Saccharomyces cerevisiae S288C: one gene and its partner. The protein of the gene in region 1 purifies or fractionates together with the protein of each later gene. This does not show direct contact. Each region holds a gene or a part of one and is shown in the gene's direction. Other genes may lie near its edges.

Region 1 (13,647 bases):
TAATCGTTTACTATACGGTGGAGTACTAATACTATTTCACTGTCGTGCTCGCGGTTGATCTTAGATAAATATATTTCTTTTTCATAAAGAAAGTGAGTGGATCTTCCCTGGAAGTACGAATAATGTACTTATGATTAGATTCTCTTCACGCACATACCTTTTTTTTTTTTTCAATTGCTAGTTCATACATACGTAGAAAGAAGGGCCAATTGGAAGCCTCAACTGTCCCCTGGTGTAAGCTTTCGCTGTTTCATCTTCAACTCAAGAAGCGAAGGTAGCGGACAGCAGGGTGACCGTGAATCTTTTCCATTGTCATTGTAAAATTTTGAGCAGCAGATGTACAGCTGATCTATAACTTTAGCGCATTTAGCATCATCGTACTGATGTGATAGAAGGCAATCTAAAATTAATGTGAAAAAACGTTAGTGAAAAGAAAAAAACGATCGAATCTTTTGAAGTTAATATTACAAACCTTGGATGGCGCAGGCCTCCTTCTGGCATGGATTAGACATATTTACCTCTTATTTGAACAAATCTCAACAACTAAAAAAACGCTCAATATCTTGGAAAAAAAGAACAGTAATATTCTGTCTCTCCACACCCTCTTCTGAACTCTCATATACACCCCATGGGTGAAAAGTAATATCCGTAAAAGTCTCGCTAACGGATGACGTTAACAACGCACGCCCGCTCCTTGCGAAATTTATTGTGGGGACGTCGTTCACGTGCAAAAGTCGCCAAATATTAGCGACGGGCAACATCGGAAAAACTCTGCGCCCGCGATTCCGATTGAGATGTGTAATTTGTAGTATTGAACGTGACAGGAAACAAAAAATATCAAAACGCTAGCAAGGTTTAAGGGGAGGGGTGAAGAACGAACGATAGGATACTGCACAAATCAGCAATTAAGAAACAATATACAAAAACCCCCAAAGTGGTCATGTTAAGGAGGGCATTTTTCCGCATGGAAACGAAACGTGGGCATGACGTGGAAGCGATGATCCGAGCGCTTCTGCTACTGTGGTGACCACCGTACCAAAGGAGGGGTAATAAGACCCTGTGCCCTTTGCCAGCATACGTGTTACCCCCCTCAAAAAGAGCTGGCTGTTCGAGCTAGCTGCTCTTTCTGTTGCCATTCCCGTACCAAGAGCGCCCCGTAGCTCGATTTTCAGCACCTTGGTGGATATCAGGGGAATTTTACCGCCGCAAGCGATCAGCGTAGAGTGCGCACAGAAAACAGACAGAAATGACTGAAGCGGATGAAAAAAAATTTTCTGGCGCGGCCCAATCTCCGCGGAAGAGTCATTCCGTGAAATGAAAACAAAAGACGCGCATAGTAGGAGAAAGATTATGCAGCTTGATAGCGGGTTATCATACCAGCGTTAATGACACCTTCAAGTGGGTAAAGTACCCTTTGTTATCGTTTTCTTGGCTACGCGGATAGACTAATTTAATTGATATATATGTAGCTAGACACGTTCATAATTTTTATGCTCTAGTGCATGTGCCTCTTACTCATTATTGTCAAAAATTTTTGCATGTAATATTTGTTTTCCGTAGTCATTCAGCACTAGCCTGTTTGTTAATATATATAGATAGACAAACTAATGACAAGGAGAATTGAATTTCTCATATAACACATACAATAAAACCAAGAAATGTCTTCAAACTATGCCACTCCTTTAGACGATGAGGTGTTTCCCTTATCTTTTGCCAATTATCAATTTACCGAGCATGTGTCACTTGGTGAGCATTATTCACTCAATACTTCGGAAGATGCCAAATATAATAATTTGAATGGTCCTTTCGTGGTACCGAGAGACACCGGGAAGTTCGATTTGAACACAAGTTCTGCCTCGGACGAGACTGTGTTCTCGTTAGATAACCCTCAAGAAAACAACTACAAACACCAAGCCATGAATAACGTCCAGGATTGTCGCATGGCCGTCGCGGCCAAAACTACCCAGTCGTGTGATAAATTGACCGATCTTTATGCCAATGCCGCCCAACAAAACTACAGATTGTGGCTGTCTTCATTTTAGAATAACGATTAAGGAATGATAATCAAAAGAAAAAAACAATCTACCTACATATATATGCACTCAACATACATAAATACACACGCATTATTGTTTCTATAAACTTCCAACAGACAATATTCCCATACAAACATCAACTAACTGATTTCCTCTTCATACGCGTTCGCTTCACGTGATGTTCCTTTTCCATTGAAAGGAGAGCTCATCACAAGAGTTACAATGGGAGTGGCGGCGCACCGTCTGCTGACAAGAATAAGTGTAAGACCAGCTACCGGAAGAAAAAAGAAAATAAAATGGATACTCTGTGTCTCCGAATGCCCCTATTTGTTGTATCCATTGATTGTTATCCTGTCTTCTTCTTTCTTTAGTTTAAATCTTTAGCGATTCAGATCCAATTGAACAAAAAAAAGGCTAGATCAAAAATAAGGGGTAAAACATCATCTTGCGGGGCTAACCCAGATCAAAAGCGGCAAGCCAAGAAAACCTGTTTGATAACACTGTAATATATATATATATATATACTATACGATCGTACCTTGGTATCCACCGCTTTCTCAGCACCTCCAAATTTCTAAAGTGCAACTAAAGAGTCTTGTCAAGTATTCTTTTACTAGTGTTAAGACCTTGTATTGGTAAGAGATAGCAAGTCTAAACAGCAACAATGAACAAGCTAAGAGACAAATTTGTAGATTCTACAGTAGAAGAAGAAAGATTGCGTGAAAATCGAAATCATGAGAAATACTGGTATCGTTGGGGTCCCTACTTGAGTGAAAGAAGCTGGGCGACAGTCCGTGAAGATTATTCTTTAAACGGTGATGCTTGGAGCAATTTTCCTTTCGAACATGCCAATGCAAGAGTATTCCGTTGGGGTGAAGATGGATTATTTGGTGTCTCAGATAACAAACAATTGGTGTGTATGAATGTCGCTCTGTGGAACGGTAAAGATGAAAGATTGAAGGAAAGGTTGTTCGGGTTGACTGGGCCACAAGGGAACCATGGTGAGGATGTTAAGGAATTGTACTTTTACCTGGACAATACTCCCACTCATTCATATATGAAAGCTTTATACAAGTATCCCTTTAAAAAGGCCTTTCCATACAAAGAATTGGTGCAAAAGAATGGTGAAAGGGGATACGAGGATAAAGAATTCGAAGTTTACGATATAGATGGGCTATACCGTGATAGTGAAACCGGTGACAACCCTTATTTCGATGTTTTTTTTGAAATGGCAAAGGATGACGAAAACCCTAGTGAACTGAACTTTCGGCTAACTATACATAATCGAAGTAAAATCGACTCTGGTGAGCTCTACATAGCTCCCCAACTTTTCTTCAGAAATACTTGGGCTTTTGACGGTACTAGAACAAAGGACAAGCCCTTGCTTGAAAGAGATGCAGAAGCAGCGAACTTAATCAATATGACTCACAAGAAATATGGTAATTGCCAAATGGTCTTTCAGCCATCTCCAGGTGGGTTCTCTTCCGGTACAAACGAGGAAGAGGAAGATAAAGAGGTAGAAGATATAGATCCTCTGCTGCTATTTACCGATAATGAGTCCAATTTAGTAAAACTATTTAACGAAGAAAAGAATCCTTCCGAGTACACAAAGGATGCTTTTGAAGAATATCTTGTTCAAGGCAAAACCGATGCTGTAAATCCTGAAAATAAAGGAACAAAGGCCTGCGCAGTATATCACTTCAAAAATATTCCGCCCGGAGAGTATGTTACTGTGAGATACAAATTTACAAATGACCCAAAAAACTCTATCTTTAAGGCACAAAACCTGGCTGTCGTAGATGAAGATGAGTTTGATTTGATTTTCGATAACAGAGAGGAGGAAGCTGATAACTTCTACTGGAGGATTACACCTTTGCCAATCAGTGATGAATTAAGAAACCTTCAAAGACAAGCTTTTTCTGGTTTGCTATGGACTAAACAGTTCTACAATTTTACATATGATGCTTGGTATAATGGTGACGCCAATGTTAAGCCTCGCCCTCCCCCTAATAGAGCTAATGGCAGGAACAAGAACTGGAAGCACCTTTACATCGAAGATATCTTATCAATGCCCGACAAATGGGAGTATCCATTTTTTGCTTCATGGGATACTGCGTTTCACTGCATTCCTTTAGCTATGATTGATCCAGAATTTGCAAAACGGCAATTGGATTTATTAACCAGAGAGTGGTACATGCATCCTAACGGTCAAATTCCGGCATACGAATGGAACTTCAATGACGTAAATCCACCAGTCCATGCATGGGCTGTGTATCGTGTTTTCAAGATCGAAAGAAACATGTACAACCGTGAAGATCGTACATTTTTAGAACGAGTTTTCCAGAAGCTTTTGTTAAATTTTACATGGTGGGTCAACAGAAAGGATACTGAAGGTAAAAATGTTTTTGAGGGCGGATTTTTGGGTCTTGATAATATTGGCGTTTTCAACAGATCAGAACCACTACCCACTGGCGGTACGCTTGAACAGGCTGATTCTACAGGTTGGATGGCCTTTTTCAGCCTTCAAATGCTAAATATTGCATTAGAGCTCGCCAAAGAAAACCCGGTTTATGAAGATATTGCCTCTAAATTTTTTGAACATTTTATCTTAATCAGTGACTCTATGTCCTTTGAATACGCTACTGATATTACGGGAGAGAAATGTAAAGAAGTTATCAAACAAAACCTATGGAATGAAGCAGACAAATTTTATTACGATGCCATCTCTTGGGGTGACCACAAGGTGCAACTACCAATAAGATCTCTCGTGGGATTGATCCCACTATATGCTTCTATGACTTTAGAGCCTAGTATCATAAAACAATTCCGCGGTTTCAAGAAGAGGGTTGATTGGTTTGTGAACAACCGTCCAGAAATCTTTGATAGAAACATTGCGTCCATGTCAAAAAAAGGAGTGGGAGAAAGACTACTTTTATCCCTAGTTACTAAGGAAAGATTAACAGCCATACTGTCACGTTTGCTGGATGAAACTGAGTTTTTGTCACCATATGGTATTAGATCTCTTTCCAAATATCATGAGAAGCACCCATTCGAAATGAATGTAAATGGTGTCGAATATATGGTCAAATATTTGCCGGGCGAATCAGACTCGGGTATGTTCGGCGGTAATTCTAACTGGAGAGGGCCCATTTGGTTTCCTACCAGCTTTTTAATAATGGAAGCATTACAAAGGTTTTACCTGTACTACGGTTCCGACTTCAAAGTAGAGTGTCCCGTAGGTTCAGGAGATTATTTGAATCTTGCTGAAGTTGCCGAAGAACTTGGATATCGTATGATTCACTTATTTGTTCCAGACGAAAACGGGGAGCGCGCCATTCATTATGGTGATCACTCTAAGTTTCTGTCTTCTGATCCATATTTCAGGGATTATGTGCCATTTTTTGAATACTTTGACGGTGATACTGGAAGAGGGCTTGGCGCTTCACACCAATGTGGTTGGACTGCTCTTGTGGCCAAATGGATAAGTGATGTAGGTATATCCTGTGTAAGACTACCTCGTACGCCAAGATCATCTGTGGCAACGACCGCTTCAACAGAGAGCTCTGAGCAAGGTCCCAAAATGAAGAGAATGGCAAGACGTAAGAGTGCAAAGTCTTTGGTAAACTACACTGCCACCATTTTGGACTTAACCGAAGAAGAAAAGCGCCATCATAGGATAGGGGGCACCCATTCTGGGTTGACACCACAAAGCAGCATTTCAAGTGACAAGGCTAGACATTTGATGGAGGAAATGAATGAAGAGGAAGGTATTCACGAAACTGTGGTACCTGAAGATCGTCACAACTTTGAAACCAAGCTTATAGGCAAGCTAAAAGATAAGGTGAAAAATATGAAAGTAACTGACAAGGCTAAAGATGAGGATATAGACCCAATGGACCCAATGAGTCCGTTGAATAAGGATGTGTCTTGATTAACTGCGGTGAACCTTCAATATCTGTACGTTTGAAAAATATTTCCAACGATATACCTCTATATTTTGATCTATAGAATATTTAATTGCAGTAGTTTTTTATCAGTAAGGTAGCGTTGATATTACTAGTGAAGGTAACTCTATAGTTCCTTGACATGTTCTTTAGATTCTAGAGGTTTTTTATTGAATTTGTTTTCCCACCTTATTTAAACTTTGAGAACAAAACTAGCAAAATCAATAATATAAGGACTGCGATAATGGCATAGCTTATGAATTTATTAGCAACTAGCCTTCTAGTCATTGTTTTTAGTGTCTTTATACTTTTATCCACATATGAATCCGCTTGAAACAAGGTCTGTCTTGCATTTTCCAAAGTTTCTCTCTGTGACCTTAAATCCATCATTATTTGTGACCCTATTCCTTCAGTTTCATTTGCTATTCTACTGGCATCTTTTAGTCTATCTCCCGATTTCTGTAAGATTGCATGGTTGCTCAACAACTGTTGCCTTTGGTCATCGTCAATATTAGATGCGTTAAGATCTCCAAAAAGTCTATCACGATCGCCTGAGTCTACTAAGGATTGCAGTGGTCGTTTGATATCGCTCTGTATAGTCTTCTTCCATTCTCTTAACTTCGCCTTGTACGTAGCACGTTCTGAGGCATCGCCTATGCTGTTATTAACTTCTACATCCATCTGATCTAGCAGGTCAAACAACTCATCTTGTTGCTGTTCTACGTGCTTCAGTGTAGTATTTCTCTGTGATAACGGTTGTGAGGGGGCCTCTGCTAAGCTCGCTTTGGCTTGTTCTAAGGTTGTTTTGAAGTCAGATTCGTATGATATTAATAGGGAACTCATAGTAAGCCATGCAGCAATGTAAAGAGTGCGGTTGATTCGTTTTATACAACTTAATGTAAAGCTTTACACTTTTCCAAGAATAGTAATTGCCCTATATAGCACGACTACTCCACTCCTAACTTTCATTGAAAATTAGACAGTCATGTGATCAGTAATATCGTCCATAGTGATATTTGTTTGTTTACCATTTTTGTTCTTATTTACTCTCTAATATGATTCTAGTATATGAAAGATACCACTGTCGTAGCTCGTATCAAAATAAAACTAGTCAGTCGTTGACCATTGAGCATATCGTCCGAGAATAAGGCTTTACTGTATTATTTTTTGATATCCACACGTTATTGAGCTCATTCACTGATCGACACATTTAGGCGGCTTTTCCGTTTGGCTGAAGCAACTTTGAAACACAACTACGACATTATAATTAAGCGCCTAAATAAGTGAATTTTGTGCCATAGGGTTGGACCGTGTATATATAAGAGCTATTCACTATTTTAATATTTGTTTTGGCATTTGAAACTCGTTGACATAAGCTTTATTATTAGGATGAATAACTCCAAAATTCCTAAACTTTCCTTTCATAGTGATCCAAACAACGTCACTCGAGACTTTCCAAAGACAAAACGACAGAAGGTTCAGAAAAGAGAAATGGATATGATACTAACTCCTAATAACAACAAGCTAAATATATTGCACAGCTCTGGATCTGGTATACGGCGCTGCTACACTGATGACACCTCCGCTACGTATACTAAGAAACTAACCTTTGGGGGGGACCCCAAGATTATTGAAAGGGTTAAGAACAATGAACGTAAGGTTAGAAAAGACATAGATTCACTACTGAATGCTATTTCTGAAATTGAAAAGGAATCTGTTCGTATTCATGCCAGGGAACTACCTGCAATAACATTAGAATTAGATGCAAAAGTCAAAGCGTGCAGGGAGCTACAAAATGAGATTGATGGACTATCAACGGAGATGGACTTGAAGGATAATCAATGTGATCTTCAAAGAAAGAATGTTGAGCTATCATCAAAAAATATAGTGTCTATGCATGCAGTAAAAGTACAAGAGTTCGAAAACGATTTAGAGGAAGAGCTATCGAATGCCAAAAGGGAGTGGACGTATAAATTAATGGAAGTAGAAAATTTGAAACCTGACGAAAGGTTAACTGACGAAATGCGACAGCTTAAAACAGAATTCGAGGAGGTCAATAGGAAACTATTCATTCTACAGAATGAAAATGAGAACGAGTGTAAAAACTACAAAAAAGAATTGGACAAGAAATTCGAGATATTCAAGAAAGTTAAGAACGATGCTAGAATTGAATTAGATGGGGAGCAAGAAAGACTTTCGAAAGTTTTAAAAGACCTACAAGACACCCATGGTGAACTGAAAGAAAATATTAAGACGTGTAGAGATGAGTTTAACGATTTTGAAAAAAGGATTGGAGAGGCAGAAGTGAACTTCCATAGCATGGAACTTGCCGTTGTTCCTCTCAAAAAGAAGCTTGCTTCTACATCACAAGCATTGACGCAAGTGCAGGAGGAGAAGAAGCAAGTCGAAGGAGAAGCAAACAATTGGAAGAAGAAGTACGTTAATGAACTAGAAAAGGTTCAACAGGAATTATACACACGACAAAATCTGGCCACTTCAATTGAAGAAATCAAAGGATACACCCGATGCTTTGCGTATGCCAATGAACGACAAATGCCTGATGAATTCCATATCAACTATGTGGATCGGTGCATTTGCGAGAATAGTGGAGAAAAACGGGTACAAGTATTTGATAGAGTAGTTCTCGAAGAAATCCATAAGGATCACAAACGCTTATATAACGAATGCATTCCGTTCCTGGAAAAATACATCAGCAAGTTAATTAACTGCAGCATTATAGTGGTTTCGCAGCAACCCACAGCACCAATGAAAAAGACTTTGCTAAAACAGTTAATTGAGCAGTACGGTGAGAATTATAAGATGACATTGAACATTTTGCATCTTGACGGAAGTATTAAACACAGTGACGTTGGATTAGATAACCCAACAGAAATTAGAGATCTGTCACAAGATGAAGAATGCATGAACATTTTAACTTTAGATACCAAGTTGGGAAAAGATGAAGAGTCCCATTCAATGAATATATATATCGGTAGTATGTCCACGGTACAGCTGAATAGAGAGCTTGATGATGCTCCCTCAGTCCTTTCGCATATTCTCACTAAAACAAAGCAGTGCTTTGTCTTCAAGATTAACGCTGGTGAAAACATCGAGAAGGCTCTAGCCTTAGCGGGAAAGCTGAAAAGAACAATAACATTACCTCAGCTAGATTAAGAAGGCCAGATCTTGTGCGCTACAATCACTTCGTCTCGTTCCCTTACATAAAAAACTTACGTAGCTACATTGTCGTGCGTGGCATCAACCTAATTATCCTAGCAAAATAAAAGAGAATGTTACGGGACTAACAGGCGGATGTAAATTACTCACTTAAACGCAGCCAAACATCATCGAGAACTTAGGGTAGCGTGCCACAAAATTTGCATGAATAAACTTTTGTTTTCCTAATTCGACAGCATTCCCTTGTTCGCAACACTTCACTGATAGGAAATCGAATAGCGCACACTCTCTTCTGGGACATACCCCAATGCGGTAAAGCCACGAAAACACCGCGCGTAAAGGGGTAAACAAGTCCATTCCTACAACCTCTTGGAGAAATTCTTTACCTACTACAACCCCGCGCCTGATACTTTCAGTATTCATGACAACTCGAGCCAGATCCCGCTCGTGGGCGTGTTCATTCTGTGACGATCCACTAGCGACTTCTTTGTTCAGCCTGCAAGAGACGCGTTCAAGGAAGAATTCGCGATTTTACTTCTTCGAGGGAATCTCGCACCGCGTTAGTTAGTTTCCAACCTTGAAAGCATCGGAGACGCATTTTTGGCGATTTTGCTGGATTGAGCTGAATGGTGCCAGGTCGAGGCTGGGAGGGAGACTAACTCGAAAGTGACGAAGACTCGAAAATTAAAAAAAAAGATACTGCAGAAGGCAAGATTGAGAATGGAGTAAAGGCAGCGTGGGTCCCCTGTGGAAACCGCAGTTTTCCTGCGCCAAGTGGTACCGGTGCGAGTGCAGCAATTAATCTCTCGATATTTTCTTAGTATCTCTTTTTATATAAGAATATATTTTGGAATTGGTAATGCTTATCTTCAATAGTTTCTTAGTTGAATGCACACTTAAGAGCAAATTGGCCAAGGAGTTCTTCGTTCGCTTTAATTTATTTCCTGGTTATTGTCAATTTATTCATCCCATCTCCCCAGGATAGAAGAAATTAGTGTAATTTTGCTGACAATACATTTTAACGACGATAACAATAATAGCAATTAAATAAAATAGCACTACCACCACTCCACTGCTCGTTAGCTATTTCTGTAAAATAAATAAAAAGATCATGAACCACTCAGAAGTGAAAACTGGGTTAATTGTCACTGCAAAGCAGACATATTACCCAATTGAATTGTCCAATGCAGAACTACTAACTCATTACGAAACCATACAGGAATATCACGAGGAAATCTCTCAAAATGTGCTGGTCCAATCTTCCAAGACAAAACCAGACATAAAATTGATCGATCAGCAACCGGAGATGAATCCTCATCAAACTAGAGAAGCCATAGTAACATTTTTGTATCAACTTTCAGTGATGACTAGAGTAAGTAATGGTATCTTCTTCCACGCTGTCAGGTTCTACGATCGCTATTGCTCTAAGAGAGTAGTGTTAAAGGACCAAGCTAAACTAGTTGTAGGCACCTGCCTTTGGTTAGCGGCCAAAACTTGGGGAGGGTGCAACCATATTATAAACAACGTCTCCATCCCCACAGGTGGTAGGTTTTATGGTCCCAATCCTAGAGCTCGTATTCCACGCCTTTCTGAATTGGTTCATTATTGCGGCGGGTCCGATTTATTCGATGAATCAATGTTCATTCAAATGGAAAGACATATCTTGGATACTCTGAACTGGGACGTTTATGAGCCCATGATTAATGACTACATTTTAAACGTTGACGAAAATTGTTTGATACAATATGAACTTTACAAAAACCAGTTACAAAATAACAATAGCAACGGCAAAGAATGGTCCTGTAAGAGAAAGTCACAATCTTCTGACGACAGTGATGCCACAGTGGAAGAACATATCAGTAGTTCACCGCAAAGTACTGGACTAGATGGCGATACAACTACCATGGATGAAGATGAAGAACTAAATTCCAAAATTAAATTGATAAATTTGAAAAGATTCTTAATTGATCTGAGCTGTTGGCAATACAACTTGCTTAAATTCGAATTATACGAAATATGCAATGGTATGTTTTCTATAATAAACAAATTCACTAATCAAGATCAAGGCCCTTTTCTCTCTATGCCCATTGGTAATGATATAAACTCAAACACTCAAACGCAGGTATTCAGCATTATCATCAATGGCATAGTCAATTCTCCCCCATCTTTAGTCGAAGTTTATAAGGAGCAATATGGTATAGTACCTTTCATATTACAAGTAAAAGATTATAACTTGGAATTACAAAAGAAACTGCAACTGGCCTCTACAATAGACCTAACCAGAAAAATTGCTGTCAATTCTCGTTACTTTGACCAAAATGCCTCTTCATCATCAGTTTCTTCTCCAAGCACATATTCTTCGGGAACCAATTATACTCCAATGCGAAACTTCAGTGCACAATCAGACAACAGTGTTTTCAGTACTACCAACATTGACCATTCATCGCCGATCACCCCTCACATGTACACTTTTAATCAGTTTAAAAACGAAAGTGCTTGTGACAGTGCCATAAGCGTAAGCAGTCTACCTAATCAAACCCAAAATGGTAACATGCCATTATCAAGCAATTATCAGAATATGATGCTAGAAGAAAGGAATAAAGAGAATAGAATTCCCAACTCATCATCCGCTGAAATACCACAACGTGCCAAATTTATGACGACTGGTATATTCCAGAACACAGGAGAACTTACTAATAGAGCGTCTTCGATATCGCTATCGTTAAGGAACCACAATAGCTCTCAACTGTGACCATTTTCTCATCAAGCCTACATATATACTTAATTAATAACGGAATACTACGCTTTTCCATCGTAAGTAATAATGACATTCATACTTGACATTTTAATACCAGATAATTTTAATGCCCACCTACAAACATCTAGCCTCAATATTCTTCACCTGAAACCAGCTGAATAGTAATATACCAATATTCTTTCAACGATTGATATAATTATCATCATGAACGGAAAAGATGACGCGATTTTCCAGTATTTTTTTCTTCCTTTCGTTCTAACGTTTGCGGTAAGCAAAGGAGAGTAGTAATTAGCAAACAGTTATAAATAGAAAGCCTCTCTAAGATTATAGATATATAGTCATACTAAAGCTTGAGATCTCATCTTTTTCGAGAACCTACCGGCATATTAAACTGAAGTAAGACATCATTCTGAGGAAAGGATCGGTATTATAACCATTATTATTTGTTGCACTTTATTACTATGTGGTCGAAAAAGTTTACATTAAAAAAGCTAATCTTAGGCGGGTATTTGTTTGCTCAAAAGGTCTATTGTGAAGACGAAAGTAACTCTATATACGGTACCTGGTCATCTAAATCAAATCAAGTGTTCACGGGACCGGGGTTTTATGATCCCGTAGATGAACTATTGATAGAACCTTCATTGCCCGGGCTTAGCTATTCGTTCACTGAAGATGGTTGGTACGAAGAAGCTACTTACCAGGTAAGTGGCAATCCTCGTAACCCAACTTGCCCCATGGCTTCGTTGATTTATCAGCATGGTACATATAACATTTCAGAAAACGGTACGTTAGTTCTGAATCCTATTGAAGTTGACGGTAGACAACTATTCAGCGACCCATGCAATGATGACGGAGTTTCGACTTATTCTAGATATAACCAAACAGAAACTTTCAAGGAATATGCCGTAGGTATAGATCCTTACCATGGTATTTACACCCTGCAATTGTACCAATATGATGGTACTCCAATGCAACCACTATATTTGGCTTATAGACCACCAATGATGCTTCCAACAGAAACTTTGAACCCAACATCGTCAGCGACCAGCACTGACGACCCATCCTCTAATAAGAAAAGATCACTGAGAAGTTTAGTGAGGAGGAGCCTGGAAAACAGACACAAGACGAATGCCATTAAAAGACAAAATACCTCATTTTTAACCTCCAATGCCATTTGGTATATTTCTGCGGGTATGCTAGGTGTAGGTTCATTATTATTTTTAGCATTTTAGGCGCACTACAGGGATACTTATTCAACCAATGGGGGAAAGAGGCCCCATGTGGCCTTCAAATAAATATTAAAAACTATAAACATATAAGGCAAAACAACTTTATCAGGCGAGAAAGAGAAGCAAGAATAGGTGTAATTTTATGCACCCAAGGAATTGATTGTAATCATATTATTAAATAAGGTGGATGAATAAAAGATTTTCAAACCAGTTTTTCCGAGATAGTTAATTATGTACGAGTGACAAATGGGATATCAATCAATGAACACAATCAAAACACCTTATTATGACTTTCTTGTTATATTCTTATATACATAACCAACATTTAAATGTCAATTTCTTCAGTTTCTAGCCCGCAGTCTGTACATCTTCTTCTTTGAATTTGATAACCGTCTTCATCAATACCTCCATCAACTGGATCACTAAAATGATGAATATGGGCTTTCCCATGCTTCTTTTCTCTTAATCTATTAGTATATTCTTGAGCTCTTGTTTTCAGTCGC
Region 2 (17,655 bases), on another chromosome or scaffold:
CAGAGAAGTTGACCCCAACATATCTGAATCTAATATTCTTCCATCAAAGAAGAGATCTAGCACCCCCCAAATTTCCAATATCGAGAGTACCGGTTCGGGTGGTATGCATAAATTAAATGTTCCTTTACTTGCTCCCATGTCCCAATCTAACACACATGAGTCGTCGCACGCCAGTAAATCTAAAGATTTCAGACACTCAGACTCGTACAGTGAAAATGAGACTAATCATACAAACGTACCAATATCCAGTACGGGTGGTACCAACAACAAAACTGTTCCGCAGATAAGTGACCAAGAGACTGAGAAAAGGATTATACACCGTTCACCTTCAATCGATGCTTCTCCACCGGAAAATAATTCATCGCACAATATTGTTCCTATCAAAACGCCAACTACTGTTTCTGAACAGAATACCGAGGAATCTATCATCGCTGATCTCCCACTCCCTGATCTACCTCCAGAATCTCCTACCGAATTCCCTGACCCATTTAAAGAACTCCCACCGATAAATTCTCATCAAACTAATTCCAGTTTGGGTGGTATTGGTGACTCTAATGCCTATACTACTATCAACAGTAAGAAAAGATCATTAGAAGATAATGAAACTGAAATTAAGGTATCACGAGACACATGGAATACTAAGAATATGCGTAGTTTAGAACCTCCGAGATCGAAGAAACGAATTCACCTGATTGCAGCTGTAAAAGCAGTAAAATCAATCAAACCAATACGGACAACCTTAAGATACGATGAGGCAATCACCTATAATAAAGATATTAAAGAAAAGGAAAAATATATCGAAGCATACCACAAAGAAGTCAACCAACTATTGAAAATGAATACTTGGGACACTGACAAATATTATGACAGAAAAGAAATAGACCCTAAAAGAGTAATAAATTCAATGTTTATCTTCAACAGGAAACGTGACGGTACTCATAAAGCTAGATTTGTTGCAAGAGGTGATATTCAGCATCCTGACACTTACGACTCAGGCATGCAATCCAATACCGTACATCACTATGCATTAATGACATCCCTGTCACTTGCATTAGACAATAACTACTATATTACACAATTAGACATATCTTCGGCATATTTGTATGCAGACATCAAAGAAGAATTATACATAAGACCTCCACCACATTTAGGAATGAATGATAAGTTGATACGTTTGAAGAAATCACTTTATGGATTGAAACAAAGTGGAGCGAACTGGTACGAAACTATCAAATCATACCTGATAAAACAGTGTGGTATGGAAGAAGTTCGTGGATGGTCATGCGTATTTAAGAATAGTCAAGTAACAATTTGCTTATTCGTTGATGATATGATATTGTTCAGCAAAGACTTAAATGCAAATAAGAAAATCATAACAACACTCAAGAAACAATACGATACAAAGATAATAAATCTGGGTGAAAGTGATAACGAAATTCAGTACGACATACTTGGCTTAGAAATCAAATATCAAAGAGGTAAATACATGAAATTAGGTATGGAAAACTCATTAACTGAGAAAATACCCAAATTAAACGTACCTTTGAATCCAAAAGGAAGAAAACTTAGCGCTCCAGGTCAACCAGGTCTTTATATAGACCAGGATGAACTAGAAATAGATGAAGATGAATACAAAGAGAAGGTACATGAAATGCAAAAGTTGATTGGTCTAGCTTCATATGTTGGATATAAATTTAGATTTGACTTACTATACTACATCAACACACTTGCTCAACATATACTATTCCCCTCTAGGCAAGTTTTAGACATGACATATGAGTTAATACAATTCATGTGGGACACTAGAGATAAACAACTGATATGGCACAAAAACAAACCTACCGAGCCAGATAATAAACTAGTCGCAATAAGTGATGCTTCATATGGTAACCAACCATATTACAAGTCACAAATTGGCAACATATATTTACTTAATGGAAAGGTAATTGGAGGAAAGTCCACCAAGGCTTCATTAACATGTACTTCAACTACGGAAGCAGAAATACACGCGATAAGTGAATCTGTCCCATTATTAAATAACCTCAGTCACCTTGTGCAAGAACTTAACAAGAAACCAATTACTAAAGGATTACTAACCGACAGTAAATCTACAATCAGTATAATTATATCCAATAATGAAGAGAAATTTAGAAACAGATTTTTTGGTACTAAAGCAATGAGACTAAGAGATGAAGTATCAGGAAATCATCTGCACGTATGCTATATCGAAACCAAAAAGAATATTGCAGACGTAATGACCAAACCTCTTCCGATAAAAACATTCAAACTATTAACAAACAAATGGATTCATTAGATCTATTACATTATGGGTGGTATGTTGGAATAAAAATCCACTATCGTCTATCAACTAATAGTTATATTATCAATATATTATCATATACGGTGTTAAGATGATGACATAAGTTATGAGAAGCTGTCATCGATGTTAGAGGAAGCTGAAACGCAAGGATTGATAATGTAATAGGATCAATGAATATAAACATATAAAACGGAATGAGGAATAATCGTAATATTAGTATGTAGAAATATAGATTCCATTTTGAGGATTCCTATATCCTCGAGGAGAACTTCTAGTATATTCTGTATACCTAATATTATAGCCTTTATCAACAATGGAATCCCAACAATTATCTAATTACCCACATATATCTCAGAAATTTTACTAGAAGTTCATTATCCTATTACTTATCAATCCTTGCATTTCAGCTTTCATTAAATGTGCTCACTGTTTCTCAATCTTTATGCCATATTTTTGCACCGTATACGATAACATGCAAATAGTACGAATACTAATCGATATGTGATGGTTGATTCTTATTCCAACAATTATCTTGAACTTCAATCAACTCTCGCAGTTGTCACGTGCAATTTGATACATGTCGCGTTGATATACAAGTACTAAATACGGTACACAATGGATTATTTCTGTTGTATCTCAAAATGAGAAATGGGTGAATGTTGAGATAATTGTTGGGATTCCATTGTTGATAAAGGCTATAATATTAGGTATACAGAATATACTAGAAGTTCTCCTCGAGGATATAGGAATCCTCAAAATGGAATCTATATTTCTACATACTAATATTACGATTATTCCTCATTCCGTTTTATATGTTTATATTCATTGATCCTATTACATTATCAATCCTTGCGTTTCAGCTTCCTCTAACATCGATGACAGCTTCTCATAACTTATGTCATCATCTTAACACCGTATATGATAATATATTGATAATATAACTATTAGTTGATAGACGATAGTGGATTTTTATTCCAACATACCACCCATAATGTAATAGATCTAATGAATCCATTTGTTTGTTAATAGTTTGAATGTTTTTATCGGAAGAGGTTTGGTCATTACGTCTGCAATATTCTTTTTGGTTTCGATATAGCATACGTGCAGATGATTTCCTGATACTTCATCTCTTAGTCTCATTGCTTTAGTACCAAAAAATCTGTTTCTAAATTTCTCTTCATTATTGGATATAATTATACTGATTGTAGATTTACTGTCGGTTAGTAATCCTTTAGTAATTGGTTTCTTGTTAAGTTCTTGCACAAGGTGACTGAGGTTATTTAATAATGGGACAGATTCACTTATCGCGTGTATTTCTGCTTCCGTAGTTGAAGTACATGTTAATGAAGCCTTGGTGGACTTTCCTCCAATTACCTTTCCATTAAGTAAATATATGTTGCCAATTTGTGACTTGTAATATGGTTGGTTACCATACGAAGCATCACTTATTGCGACTAGTTTATTATCTGGCTCGGTAGGTTTGTTTTTGTGCCATATCAGTTGTTTATCTCTAGTGTCCCACATGAATTGTATCAACTCATATGTCATGTCTAAAACTTGCCTAGAGGGGAATAGTATATGTTGAGCAAGTGTGTTGATGTAGTATAGTAAGTCAAATCTAAATTTATATCCAACATATGAAGCTAGACCAATCAACTTTTGCATTTCATGTACCTTCTCTTTGTATTCATCTTCATCTATTTCTAGTTCATCCTGGTCTATATAAAGACCTGGTTGACCTGGAGCGCTAAGTTTTCTTCCTTTTGGATTCAAAGGTACGTTTAATTTGGGTATTTTCTCAGTTAATGAGTTTTCCATACCTAATTTCATGTATTTACCTCTTTGATATTTGATTTCTAAGCCAAGTATGTCGTACTGAATTTCGTTATCACTTTCACCCAGATTTATTATCTTTGTATCGTATTGTTTCTTGAGTGTTGTTATGATTTTCTTATTTGCATTTAAGTCTTTGCTGAACAATATCATATCATCAACGAATAAGCAAATTGTTACTTGACTATTCTTAAATACGCATGACCATCCACGAACTTCTTCCATACCACACTGTTTTATCAGGTATGATTTGATAGTTTCGTACCAGTTCGCTCCACTTTGTTTCAATCCATAATGTGATTTCTTCAAACGTATCAACTTATCATTCATTCCTAAATGTGGTGGAGGTCTTATGTATAATTCTTCTTTGATGTCTGCATACAAATATGCCGAAGATATGTCTAATTGTGTAATATAGTAGTTATTGTCTAATGCAAGTGACAGGGATGTCATCAACGCATAATGATGTACAGTGTTGGATTGCATACCTGTATCGTACGTATCAGGATGCTGAATGTCACCTCTTGCAACAAATCTAGCTTTATGAGTTCCGTCACGTTTCTTGTTGAAGATAAACATTGAATTTATTACTCTTTTGGGGTCTATTTCTTTTCTGTCATAATATCTGTCAGTGTCCCAAGTTTTCATCTTCAACAGTTGGTTGACTTCTTTGTGGTATGCTTCGATATATTTTTCTTTTTCTTTAATATCTTTATTATAGGTGATTGCCTCATCGTATCGTAAGGTTGTTCGTATTGGTTTGATTGATTTTACTGCTTTTACAGCTGCAATCAGGTGAATTCGTTTCTTCGATCTCGGAGGTTCTAAACTACGCATATTCTTAGTATTCCATGTGTCTCGTGATACCTTAATTTCAGTTTCATTATCTTCTAATGATCTTTTCTTACTGTTGATAGTAGTATAGGCATTAGAGTCACCAATACCACCCAAACTGGAATTAGTTTGACGAGAATTGATCGGTGGAAGTTCTTTAAAGGAGTCTGATAATTCGGTAGGAGGTTCTGGAGGCGGATCGGGAAGTGGGAGATCAGCGATAATAGATTCCTCGGTATTCTGTTCAGAAACAGTAGTTGGCGTTTTGATAGGAACAATATTGTGCGATGAATTATTTTCCGGTGGAGAAGCATCGATTGAAGGTGAACGGTGTATAATCCTTTTCTCAGTCTCCTGGTCGCTTATCTGCGGAACAGTTTTGTTGTTGGTACCACCCGTACTGGATATTGGTACGTTTGTATGATTAGTCTCATTGTTACTGTACGAGTCTGAGTGTCTGAAATCTTTAGATTTACTGGCGTGCGACGACTCATGTGTGTTAGATTGGGACATGGGAGCAAGTAAAGGAACATTTAATTTATGCATACCACCCGAACCGGTACTCTCGATATTGGAAATTTGGGGGGTGCTAGATCTCTTCTTTGATGGAAGAATATTAGATTCAGATATGTTGGGGTCAACTTCTCTGGGTGCACGAAGATTGATTTCAGATATAGGTTTTGAATCTTCAGTATGAGTTGACGGAGGTGTGGAATCGGTTGGACTCACAGCTTTTGAAAGGACATTTCTCGGTTGCTCAGGATGTAGTTCAATGTCAGATTGGAAGTCATGGTCAGATTCTATGTTAAGATCATTGGATTCTTGGATCTCATTTGACGCAATGAACGAATGATATGAAGCAGTTAAACGGTTTAAGTCTTCATCGAAAGTGAGTGCGTCGTAATTGAATTGATCTAATCTGGATTCCTTGCCCTGAAGAATAACATAGTTAGTTGTATCTACTGTCTTCTTTAAGGATGGAAGATAGATGATATATCCATAAGAGTTTCGAGACGGATGTAGAGCGTAACCTGGGATGCCACGAGGATGTATTTTGGAGTTAGGGTTGTGATCATTGACGATAACAGGTTGACCGAAAGGTAACAAAGTACTGATATCAAGTCCTGCCAAGCCAGCATGTTGGCTTGCAGATTTTTTGCTTTTAGGTGAAGCTAGTGAATTTCTCACAATAGTAGAAAATTCGATTGCAGAGAACCATAAATGGTTCGGTAAACCACTACATTGCAGTTGAGTACGGCAGTCATCTAATAAGGTACGGTTGAGCCGTTCAGCGACTCCATGTGCTCGGGAATCCGCTGTGGTTGTATAGCATGGAGTTATACCATTTTTTTCAAGGAATTTATGGAGAGTTCTGTTAGTATACTCAGAACCACGGTCCATTTGTATAACCAAGACACTGGCCTGAAATTGGTTTTTAATGAAAGCTAGTATCGTGGTAAATACATCGAGGATAGAGTCCTCGCGACGGTCGTGCAATGGATAAACCCAACGGAATTTTGTTGTCTCATCAGTAAATGAGATGAAATAGGATGGTGCACTTTTTGGTAGGTTGTGAACTGGACCAAATATGTCAGTATGTAGGTATTGAAAGGGTTCGTATGAATTTTGGTATTTTAGTCGTGAACCTTTGATATGTCTGTGTTTGGTGCTTTTGCCGATTAAACAATCAGGACATTGATAGTCAATAGCACTAGACCAGTCGACATCTGATTCGTTAAAATACGTGATGGTGTTATTTTTAAGTGAGTATCGAATTGTCTGTGCATTGGCATGCGCAAGCATTCGATGAATGAAAGGATAAGGATATTTGCGTGTACTTTCACTTGTATGGACATTATTGATGGTGGGTACGGAGATATTTGATGGAAGCAAGTACCTTTTAGATACCCAGTAAAAGTCTCCATATTGTACGATAGGTGCAAGTACAGTGCCGTCAGATCGTTCTAAGACGTTTTTGGTAAAGCATGCTGTGATATCTACTGCAGCCAATTCATTCAAACTGAGTAAGTCATAGGCTATGTTAGGAGTGTGCAATACCTTTATTGATGTTTTGGTGTTGTCCTGGAAGTGAAATTGTAGGTCACCAATAGCGTTAATTGGTATATTTCTTTTTTGAGCATCAACTACGTTTATGTCAGGATTAGATGATGCTGAGTGTATGTGATGAGCAGATCTTATAAGGGTTCGTGATGCTCCTGAATCGAGAAGGAGGTGTCCAGGGAGTTCATCATCAGAATGATTAGTGTGATTTACCGTAGATTCAGTAAGTTCCTGGCCTAAGGTGAAGGTCGTGCTTATTGTTCAATTGAATCGGTTCAGTAGTTGATTTACTGATGGAATCGTTGTCCGTGCTGGGAGAGTTATTAGATGTGGATACATTGTGAGCCCTGGCTGTTTTCGATTTCGAATTATTTGTTTTTTGAGGATTCCGAGCTATAACTTTGGGTTTGGTTGTATTCGTATAGCTGCGAGAATCATTCTTCTCATCACTCAGATTTCTCCTGTAATTAGGTTTGCTGTTTCTCGATCCCTGTTGTTCTTCATAAATAGCATGGATATCTAAGAACAGTTCAGCGACTGTCATATTTAGATGTCGATGACGTGTGTAGCGTAAAAATTTATATTCGCCAGATAGACCTCTCATAATTAATTGGCATGCGACCTTGTTATTGATATGAATGCCATTATTGTTCAGTCTGTCGATAATGTTTGTGACTTTTGTTTCAAATGCATCTGCAGGTGTACTGCCATTATATTGCAAATTTGCCAGGGTCACAATGTCGTTTGCCTCTTGGGTATCAGATTGCATTTTTTCAATACTTTTGGAAAGAATTTTCATGATATCCGTATAATCAACGGATAGGATGTCTTTGACCCAGGTAGGTAGGAATTGAGAGGGAGCAAATATTTGAAAAGTGTTATACAAGAAGGTGAGTTCATCATCAGTGATCTGACGTACGGGTTTTCCGTTTACTGTCGGAATAATACCACCGAGATTCGAGTTTTGTAAAAATTTGATGTATGTTTTAACCCAATTTGGAAAGTCATTAGGTGAGGTTAACATTGGTGGTGGTCTGACATATTTTTTAGTGGATGTCATATCAGAGTCTGCTGAGGATGAATCAGTAAATGTATTACCTGACTCAGGTGATGGAGTGCTCAGAGGCGTTCCAACTGATGATGGATACTGCGGAAACTGTGATTGTGGCCCAGGTGGAAAGTACATAGGCGACATTTGATAAGGTGTATACGGAATCATAGATGGGTGTCCGTAAAATGACCAACCAGATGGATTGGCTTGGTTTTGGGTCATCATGCACTGCTGTGGGTACGGCCCATTCTGTGGAGGTGGTACTGAAGCAGGTTGAGGAGAGGCATGATGGGGGTTCTCTGGAACAGCTGATGAAGCAGGTGTTGTTGTCTGTTGAGAGTTAGCCTTAGTAGAAGCCTTCTCACATTCTTCTGTTTTGGAAGCTGAAACGTCTAACGGATCTTGATTTGTGTGGACTTCCTTAGAAGTAACCGAAGCACAGGCGCTACCATGAGAAATGGGTGAATAATTAGATAATTGTTGGGATTCCATTGTTGATAAAGGCTATAATATTAGGTATACAGAATATACTAGAAGTTCTCCTCGAGGATATAGGAATCCTCAAAATGGAATCTATATTTCTACATACTAATATTACGATTATTCCTCATTCCGTTTTATATGTTTATATTCATTGATCCTATTACATTATCAATCCTTGCGTTTCAGCTTCCTCTAACATCGATGACAGCTTCTCATAACTTATGTCATCATCTTAACACCGTATATGATAATATATTGATAATATAACTATTAGTTGATAGACGATAGTGGATTTTTATTCCAACACAAAATGAGATATGTCAGTATGACAATACGTCATCCTGAACGTTCATAAAACACATATGAAACAACCTTATAACAAAACGAACAACATGAGACAAAACCCGTCCTTCCCTAGCTGAACTACCCAAAAGTATAAATGCCTGAACAATTAGTTTAGATCCGAGATTCCGCGCTTCCACCACTTAGTATGATTCATATTTTATATAATATATAAGATAAGTAACATTCCGTGAATTAATCTGATAAACTGTTTTGACAACTGGTTACTTCCCTAAGACTGTTTATATTAGGATTGTCAAGACACTCCGGTATTACTCGAGCCCGTAATACAACAATTTACAACAAGATTCGGGCGTGTGGCGTAGTCGGTAGCGCGCTCCCTTAGCATGGGAGAGGTCTCCGGTTCGATTCCGGACTCGTCCATTTTAATTTTTGATTATGGAATACAAAATGTATATTTCGTATAAAATTATCTTTATTGTTTTTGTGGCTTAGTGATTTTCATTCCCCTCTTTTCTTTTTCCTCTCAGCCTGCAAGTGTGACGCGATCTGAAAGGCGTTTTACCCGCAAAACGCCAAAGAATCATCCTGAAGCGGTAAATTCTAGACTTCAGATCACATACGCTCTATTTGGACAGTTTTTTTTTTTTTTTCATATTCCTGATCAGATGAAAGTTAACGCTATTTTTGGTGAAAACACAGAATAAAACAGCTTCTGATAAAATTTAACTAGGAACGTCGAAAACAACAACCGTTAAAATATTTTTAGCTTACAGAAGCACTTAAGAATCACTAACGTTTTCTTCTTTTTTTATTTTCAGTCCAAAGCTTTCGTATTGCTGCAAGTGCTCGAGAAAGCTGCATATTGTTATTGTATTCGTCCTCTCGTACTAGTGTTCATTACTTTATCGTCTATAAATATATTGTTGTTAGAATTTTTCTACTAAGGCAAGTTAGTAGTTGCACAACATTTCTCTCGTTAAATCATCTAAAGTTTACAGAATAGGTATACCACTCACTCCTTTACTCTAATGCCTTTGAGAAATCTAACTGAAACGCACAACTTTAGTAGCACAAACCTGGACACAGATGGTACAGGCGACGATCATGATGGTGCTCCTCTTTCCTCATCTCCTTCTTTTGGACAACAAAATGACAATAGCACCAACGATAATGCTGGTCTCACAAACCCTTTTATGGGGAGTGACGAAGAATCTAATGCGCGGGATGGAGAATCTCTGTCTTCTTCTGTTCATTATCAGCCACAGGGGAGTGACTCTTCACTACTTCATGACAATTCTCGTCTAGATCTAAGTCAAAATAAAGGTGTATCTGATTACAAAGGTTACTATTCCAGGAACAATAGTAGAGCTGTGAGTACGGCTAATGATAACTCATTTCTTCAGCCACCACATAGAGCTATAGCCTCTTCTCCTTCTTTGAATTCTAATTTATCGAAGAATGATATTCTCTCACCGCCAGAATTTGATAGATATCCCTTAGTGGGTTCCAGAGTCACTTCTATGACTCAACTGAACCATCATGGTCGCTCGCCAACATCATCTCCAGGAAACGAGTCGTCCGCCTCATTCTCTTCTAATCCGTTTTTGGGCGAGCAAGATTTTTCTCCATTTGGTGGGTATCCTGCTTCATCGTTCCCACTTATGATAGATGAAAAGGAAGAAGATGATTATTTACACAATCCTGACCCCGAAGAAGAGGCAAGACTGGATAGAAGGAGGTTCATAGATGACTTCAAGTACATGGATAAAAGGTCTGCTAGTGGGCTAGCTGGTGTATTGCTCTTGTTTCTGGCAGCCATCTTTATTTTTATTGTTTTGCCAGCGTTGACCTTTACCGGTGCTATTGATCACGAAAGCAACACTGAAGAAGTTACATATTTAACTCAATACCAATATCCTCAACTATCCGCCATTAGAACATCTCTGGTTGACCCAGACACACCTGATACAGCGAAGACAAGAGAAGCTATGGATGGCTCTAAGTGGGAATTAGTATTTTCTGATGAGTTTAATGCAGAAGGCAGAACATTTTATGATGGGGATGATCCATACTGGACAGCCCCTGATGTTCACTATGATGCTACTAAGGATTTAGAATGGTACAGTCCAGACGCTTCCACAACTGTGAACGGAACCTTGCAGCTGAGAATGGATGCCTTTAAGAACCATGGCTTATATTACAGATCAGGTATGTTGCAGAGTTGGAATAAGGTTTGTTTCACGCAGGGTGCTCTAGAAATCTCTGCAAATCTACCAAATTATGGCCGTGTTTCAGGTTTGTGGCCCGGTCTTTGGACTATGGGTAATTTAGGGAGGCCCGGTTATTTGGCTAGTACCCAAGGTGTCTGGCCTTATTCTTATGAATCGTGTGATGCTGGTATTACACCCAACCAAAGTTCCCCGGATGGTATTTCTTACTTGCCGGGACAAAAGTTAAGTATTTGTACTTGTGATGGTGAAGATCATCCGAATCAAGGTGTTGGTAGAGGAGCTCCAGAAATTGATGTTTTGGAAGGTGAAACTGATACTAAGATTGGTGTAGGTATAGCCTCTCAATCCTTGCAAATTGCACCTTTTGATATCTGGTACATGCCTGACTATGATTTTATCGAGGTTTACAATTTCACAACAACGACCATGAACACTTATGCTGGCGGTCCATTTCAACAAGCCGTATCTGCTGTCTCAACTTTGAACGTAACTTGGTATGAATTCGGTGAGTACGGTGGCTACTTTCAAAAATATGCCATTGAGTATCTGAACGATGACGACAATGGTTATATCCGTTGGTTTGTTGGTGATACTCCAACTTATACTATTCATGCTAAAGCCTTACATCCTGATGGTAATATTGGTTGGAGAAGAATCAGTAAAGAACCAATGTCGATTATTCTAAATCTGGGTATTTCCAACAATTGGGCTTATATTGATTGGCAGTATATTTTCTTCCCAGTGGTTATGTCGATTGACTATGTTAGAATATACCAACCAAGTAATGCTATATCCGTGACATGCGATCCAAGTGACTATCCAACATATGATTATATTCAATCGCACTTAAATGCATTCCAGAATGCAAACTTAACTACTTGGGAAGATGCTGGTTACACGTTCCCTAAGAATATCCTAACTGGTAAATGTACTAGCTCGAAGTTCAAGTTATCCTCTTAAGCGGGTATTTTGATGGTAAATCTACAAGCCCTCGGCTTTAATTATTACCATGGTCATAAAAAGTTACTTACAATGCATACATTTTTCTTTTAGGAAGAAATAAAATATAAAAGACTTATCGTTCAAATCGGGTCATAAAGGGAACTAAAGGTATACTAAGGTAAGACGGGGTTCTCATCTGCACGTAATTTTTTATTATTTTTAGTGAGGGAGAACTTTACCTCTAAGATTGTTTATATAGGTATACACATTTTTGTAAAACTGATTATTCGTTTTTTTTTTTGAAACAAGTTATTAGTACAAAAATCAAGCTCTCACTACTTACCAGTAGTTATTTTAGTAGAATATTATTAACTCTACCGAATAAGTACGATATGAGAAATTGCTGATTTACTTGTGTGTGTTCCTATTATTATCCAGGAGCGCCTCTAATCTATGCTTATAATTTTACGTTGAAAAAAAAGGAGTCTGTATAATTATTTCAAATTCATCCTTTTCTCACGGATATTGTGTACCCTATGAGGTAAATAATTGCGCTTTATTTTCTCCCTGTGTTTGCTCGCTCATCTTAAGACGAAAAAAGTAATGGAACACCTACCATCAATAGAAGTACCACACTCATGTAAATAACAAGCGCAAGTGGTTTAGTGGTAAAATCCAACGTTGCCATCGTTGGGCCCCCGGTTCGATTCCGGGCTTGCGCAGATTTTATTTTTTGCTCCCTTCTAAAGCTCTGGATGATTCACCAACTTATCCAAGGCAAGGTCCAACTACCGTTTCCTTCGATGAAAAAGACAATAGGTAGCTCTGTCAAACCCCGTGGAAACGCAAACTCATCGGGAGTGTCCTACTGCTTTCCACTAGTTATCCGACTAGCAAGGCAACTAGTCAAGATGAAACCGTCTCACGAACATTTGTATACGATCTCTTCTCCTGATAGACAATGAAATATACCCCGGTGCTTGTTTCCCACTAAGGAAAAAAGGCCGCTGCCCCACAGCGGGAAGGCCCTTCAAGGGGTAGCGGCATCGCCTAGTAGCACTGTGGGGGGAAGAATACAACGCTCAACGGAAGAGGAAGCTCTGCGAGATGCAGCCAGCACCTTCTATGTTTCAAGGATAACATTTTGAATTAACAAGGAACGCCTTCCCCAATTACCGTTATTGTATTTTTACTTTTTAGAGACTCTCGAGGAAATAAGTAAGGGGTGGATAATTTTCGCTAAAAAAGTTTCAGGGGAGGTTAATAACTACCATGTGCATGCTACAAAGATAAGGAAGGAACACCGACGAATATATTATATGTATAAAAGGAGCATGAAGTTTGTATAGCAGTAAAGCAAGATTCTTTGTGCCTTCCCGTTTCTTGTTGTACCTTTTGTTTTGATTACGTACGAAGTATTATAAGTTTTTTCTGCTTGCTATTGTAATATAAAGTAAGCACAGATTGAGAAGGTAACGATTACTAAAAATATCCAAAAGAAAAACAATTGGATCTTTTTTGACTTCTCTACATTACAATTTCAGTAAAGCAGCTTTCAACTTAATTTAATTTTGAACAATGCCGCCAGCTAGTACTAGTACTACCAATGATATGATAACCGAAGAACCTACTTCTCCACACCAAATCCCAAGGCTTACAAGGAGACTTACGGGGTTTCTTCCCCAAGAAATCAAGTCAATTGACACGATGATTCCTTTAAAGTCAAGAGCGTTATGGAATAAGCATCAAGTCAAAAAATTTAACAAGGCAGAAGATTTTCAAGATAGATTCATTGACCATGTGGAAACTACATTAGCACGTTCCCTATATAATTGTGATGACATGGCTGCTTATGAAGCTGCTTCGATGAGTATTCGTGACAATTTGGTCATTGACTGGAACAAAACTCAGCAGAAATTCACCACAAGAGACCCAAAGAGAGTTTACTATTTGTCTTTGGAGTTTTTGATGGGTAGGGCTTTGGATAATGCCCTGATTAATATGAAGATTGAAGATCCGGAAGACCCTGCTGCCTCAAAGGGAAAACCAAGAGAAATGATTAAAGGGGCTTTGGATGATTTAGGTTTCAAGTTAGAGGATGTCTTGGACCAAGAACCGGACGCAGGTTTAGGTAATGGTGGTCTAGGTCGTCTTGCAGCTTGCTTCGTCGACTCAATGGCAACGGAAGGCATCCCTGCCTGGGGTTATGGTCTACGTTATGAGTATGGTATCTTTGCTCAAAAGATTATTGACGGTTACCAGGTGGAAACTCCAGATTACTGGTTAAATTCTGGTAATCCATGGGAAATTGAACGTAACGAAGTGCAAATTCCTGTCACCTTTTATGGTTATGTTGATAGACCAGAAGGCGGTAAAACTACACTGAGTGCGTCACAATGGATCGGTGGGGAAAGAGTTCTTGCTGTCGCGTATGATTTCCCAGTTCCGGGTTTCAAGACTTCCAATGTAAATAACTTAAGACTATGGCAAGCAAGGCCAACAACAGAATTTGATTTTGCAAAATTCAATAATGGTGACTATAAAAACTCTGTGGCTCAGCAACAACGCGCAGAGTCTATAACCGCTGTGTTGTATCCAAACGATAACTTTGCTCAAGGTAAGGAGTTGAGGTTGAAACAGCAGTACTTCTGGTGTGCTGCATCCTTACACGACATCTTAAGAAGATTCAAAAAATCCAAGAGGCCATGGACTGAATTTCCTGACCAAGTGGCTATTCAGTTGAATGATACTCATCCAACTTTAGCCATCGTTGAATTACAGAGAGTTTTGGTCGATCTAGAAAAACTAGATTGGCACGAGGCTTGGGACATCGTGACCAAGACTTTTGCTTATACTAACCACACTGTTATGCAAGAGGCCCTGGAAAAATGGCCCGTCGGCCTCTTTGGCCATTTGCTACCCAGACATTTGGAAATTATATATGATATCAACTGGTTCTTCTTGCAAGATGTGGCCAAAAAATTCCCCAAGGATGTTGATCTTTTGTCTCGTATATCCATCATCGAAGAAAACTCTCCAGAAAGACAGATCAGAATGGCCTTTTTGGCTATTGTTGGTTCACACAAGGTTAATGGTGTTGCTGAATTGCACTCTGAATTAATCAAAACGACCATATTTAAAGATTTTGTCAAGTTCTATGGTCCATCAAAGTTTGTCAATGTCACTAACGGTATCACACCAAGGAGATGGTTGAAGCAAGCTAACCCTTCATTGGCTAAACTGATCAGTGAAACCCTTAACGATCCAACAGAGGAGTATTTGTTGGACATGGCCAAACTGACCCAGTTGGGAAAATATGTTGAAGATAAGGAGTTTTTGAAAAAATGGAACCAAGTCAAGCTTAATAATAAGATCAGATTAGTAGATTTAATCAAAAAGGAAAATGATGGAGTAGACATCATTAACAGAGAGTATTTGGACGACACCTTGTTTGATATGCAAGTTAAACGTATTCATGAATATAAGCGTCAACAGCTAAACGTCTTTGGTATTATATACCGTTACCTGGCAATGAAGAATATGCTGAAGAACGGTGCTTCGATCGAAGAAGTTGCCAAGAAATATCCACGCAAGGTTTCAATCTTTGGTGGTAAGAGTGCTCCTGGTTACTACATGGCTAAGCTGATCATAAAATTGATCAACTGTGTTGCTGACATTGTTAATAACGACGAGTCAATTGAGCATTTGTTGAAGGTTGTCTTTGTTGCTGATTATAATGTTTCTAAGGCTGAAATCATTATTCCAGCAAGTGACTTGAGTGAGCATATTTCTACTGCTGGTACTGAAGCGTCTGGTACTTCTAATATGAAGTTTGTTATGAACGGTGGTTTGATTATTGGTACTGTTGATGGTGCCAATGTGGAAATCACAAGGGAAATTGGTGAAGATAATGTCTTCTTGTTTGGTAACCTAAGTGAAAATGTCGAAGAATTGAGATACAACCATCAATACCATCCACAAGATTTACCATCTAGTTTGGATTCTGTTTTATCCTACATTGAAAGTGGACAATTTTCTCCAGAAAATCCAAATGAATTCAAACCTTTAGTCGACAGTATTAAGTACCACGGCGATTATTACCTGGTCAGTGATGACTTTGAATCCTATCTGGCCACCCATGAATTAGTGGACCAGGAGTTCCACAATCAAAGGTCAGAATGGTTAAAAAAGAGTGTCCTGAGCGTTGCAAACGTCGGCTTCTTTAGCAGTGATCGTTGTATCGAGGAATACTCCGATACCATTTGGAACGTTGAACCAGTGACTTAGCTGGGAGTTTTTTTTATCTCTTTGGCACCCTTCTCCCCATTTCTAGTAAGCGCTTTTTTCTCTTTACTTCTTCTCTTATATAAAACGCCTTTAAAATAATCGTTATCGGTTTTTTGGCACTCTTTTAAATGGTATATATGATGTTACAGGAAAACTTAGTTGTTTTCATATTGAAAATCCGCGCAGGATAACGCTTGTGTAAAACCGAGTGTCCTGAAGGTGGGTAAGGCGGTCCTTATTATCACTTACTCGAACGTTGACATTGGTACAGTCCCTATCAGGTAGGATGTACTGACGTTTTGACAATAGTTTCGATTTTATGGATTGTTTGAAAAGAGCGAGACAGTGACAAAACGTGATAGATTACATAGTAGTCAGTATACAACTTTCCGTAATTAGCCACGAGGCCAGAAAGGAAGAGAGAATAGTATAACCTAATATAGATCTGCAATATCACTATTTTGGAACTCCTTAGACTCATCTGGTTTCGCTCTTTCATCCTTAAAGCTTCCATTTTTTTTCTCTATTGGTTTACTCGTAAGCTGATGCTGCCCCTGTGAGGGCGAGATTGGGAATTGTGGATGAGAAGGTCTCGAGCCTTGATGATGATCACCAGCCATATTGCGAGAACCGTTTGAAGGATTATAATTTTTATTGATTGGCGCATTGGATTCTTGGCGACTATATTTCTGTGGTTGCCTATTGAAGTTGGTTTCCGGCTTGTTCACGTACCTAGGGTTATGATATCTAGAGTCATTTGGCGAGTTTTTGTACCGGGACTCATTTGAATTACCCTGGTATCTTGACTGAGGCCCCAATGGCAAAGGTACTTTATTATATTTAGAGCTGACATTTGTCTCAGGATGAAATCGATTTACGGGATTCCTGCTGTTGTTGGGTGCAGTGCTGTTGCCGCTGAAGCGATTATTTCTGGAACTATTGTTGGGTCCGTATCTATTAACTCCTGCAGGGGCTGCTGGCGGTGGAATCGCAGTTTTAGCATATCCGCTGTTCACATGATACGGTCTAGGATTTTGATGTAGTTCTCTTATTTTCGAAGGAGGCGGCTTAGCCAATACGTTCTTTGATGGAGGCAAAAAACTTGCGTCATCTTTCTTGGGGCCTCTTGGGATCGCCCCAAGATTTTTCACGACAGGTGATTCACCCTTTTCAACTATATGACCTCTTGGCGCAGTAGGTACTCTTTGGGACAATGATTGGTGCATTTCTTCCTTGTACCTCTTAATATCAGCTTCATGACTTTCTTCCGTCGGTAATGTTATCTTCTCTGATGGTAAAGGGTCCTC

What was found.
Region 2: the proteins of ROT1 (region 1) and KRE6 purify together in Saccharomyces cerevisiae (affinity purification with western blotting; 2 studies listed by BioGRID, with this or other methods). This does not show direct contact.

The regions. Positions count from the first base shown.
Region 1 is NC_001145.3:652,376-666,022, forward strand, and holds ROT1 (Rot1p), read left to right. Parts: upstream 1-12,376; coding exon 12,377-13,147; downstream 13,148-13,647. Other genes in the region: CMC4 (Cmc4p), read right to left, coding at 219-400, 473-512; ICY1 (Icy1p), read left to right, coding at 1,659-2,042; YMR196W (uncharacterized protein), read left to right, coding at 2,701-5,967; v-SNARE protein VTI1, read right to left, coding at 6,170-6,823; CIK1 (Cik1p), read left to right, coding at 7,370-9,154; cyclin CLN1, read left to right, coding at 10,269-11,909; DNA repair protein RAD14, read right to left, coding at 13,470-13,647. UniProt on the Saccharomyces cerevisiae protein: Required for normal levels of the cell wall 1,6-beta-glucan. Involved in a protein folding machinery chaperoning proteins acting in various physiological processes including cell wall synthesis and lysis of autophagic bodies.
Region 2 is NC_001148.4:847,667-865,321, forward strand, and holds KRE6 (beta-glucan synthesis-associated protein KRE6), read left to right. Parts: upstream 1-9,916; coding exon 9,917-12,079; downstream 12,080-17,655. Other genes in the region: YPR158C-C (gag protein), read right to left, coding at 7,269-8,591; YPR159C-A (uncharacterized protein), read right to left, coding at 12,648-12,749; GPH1 (glycogen phosphorylase), read left to right, coding at 13,640-16,348; cyclin-dependent serine/threonine protein kinase SGV1, read right to left, coding at 16,783-17,655. UniProt on the Saccharomyces cerevisiae protein: Involved in the synthesis of (1->6)- and (1->3)-beta-D-glucan polymers of the yeast cell wall in vivo. It is required for full activity of beta-glucan synthase in vitro.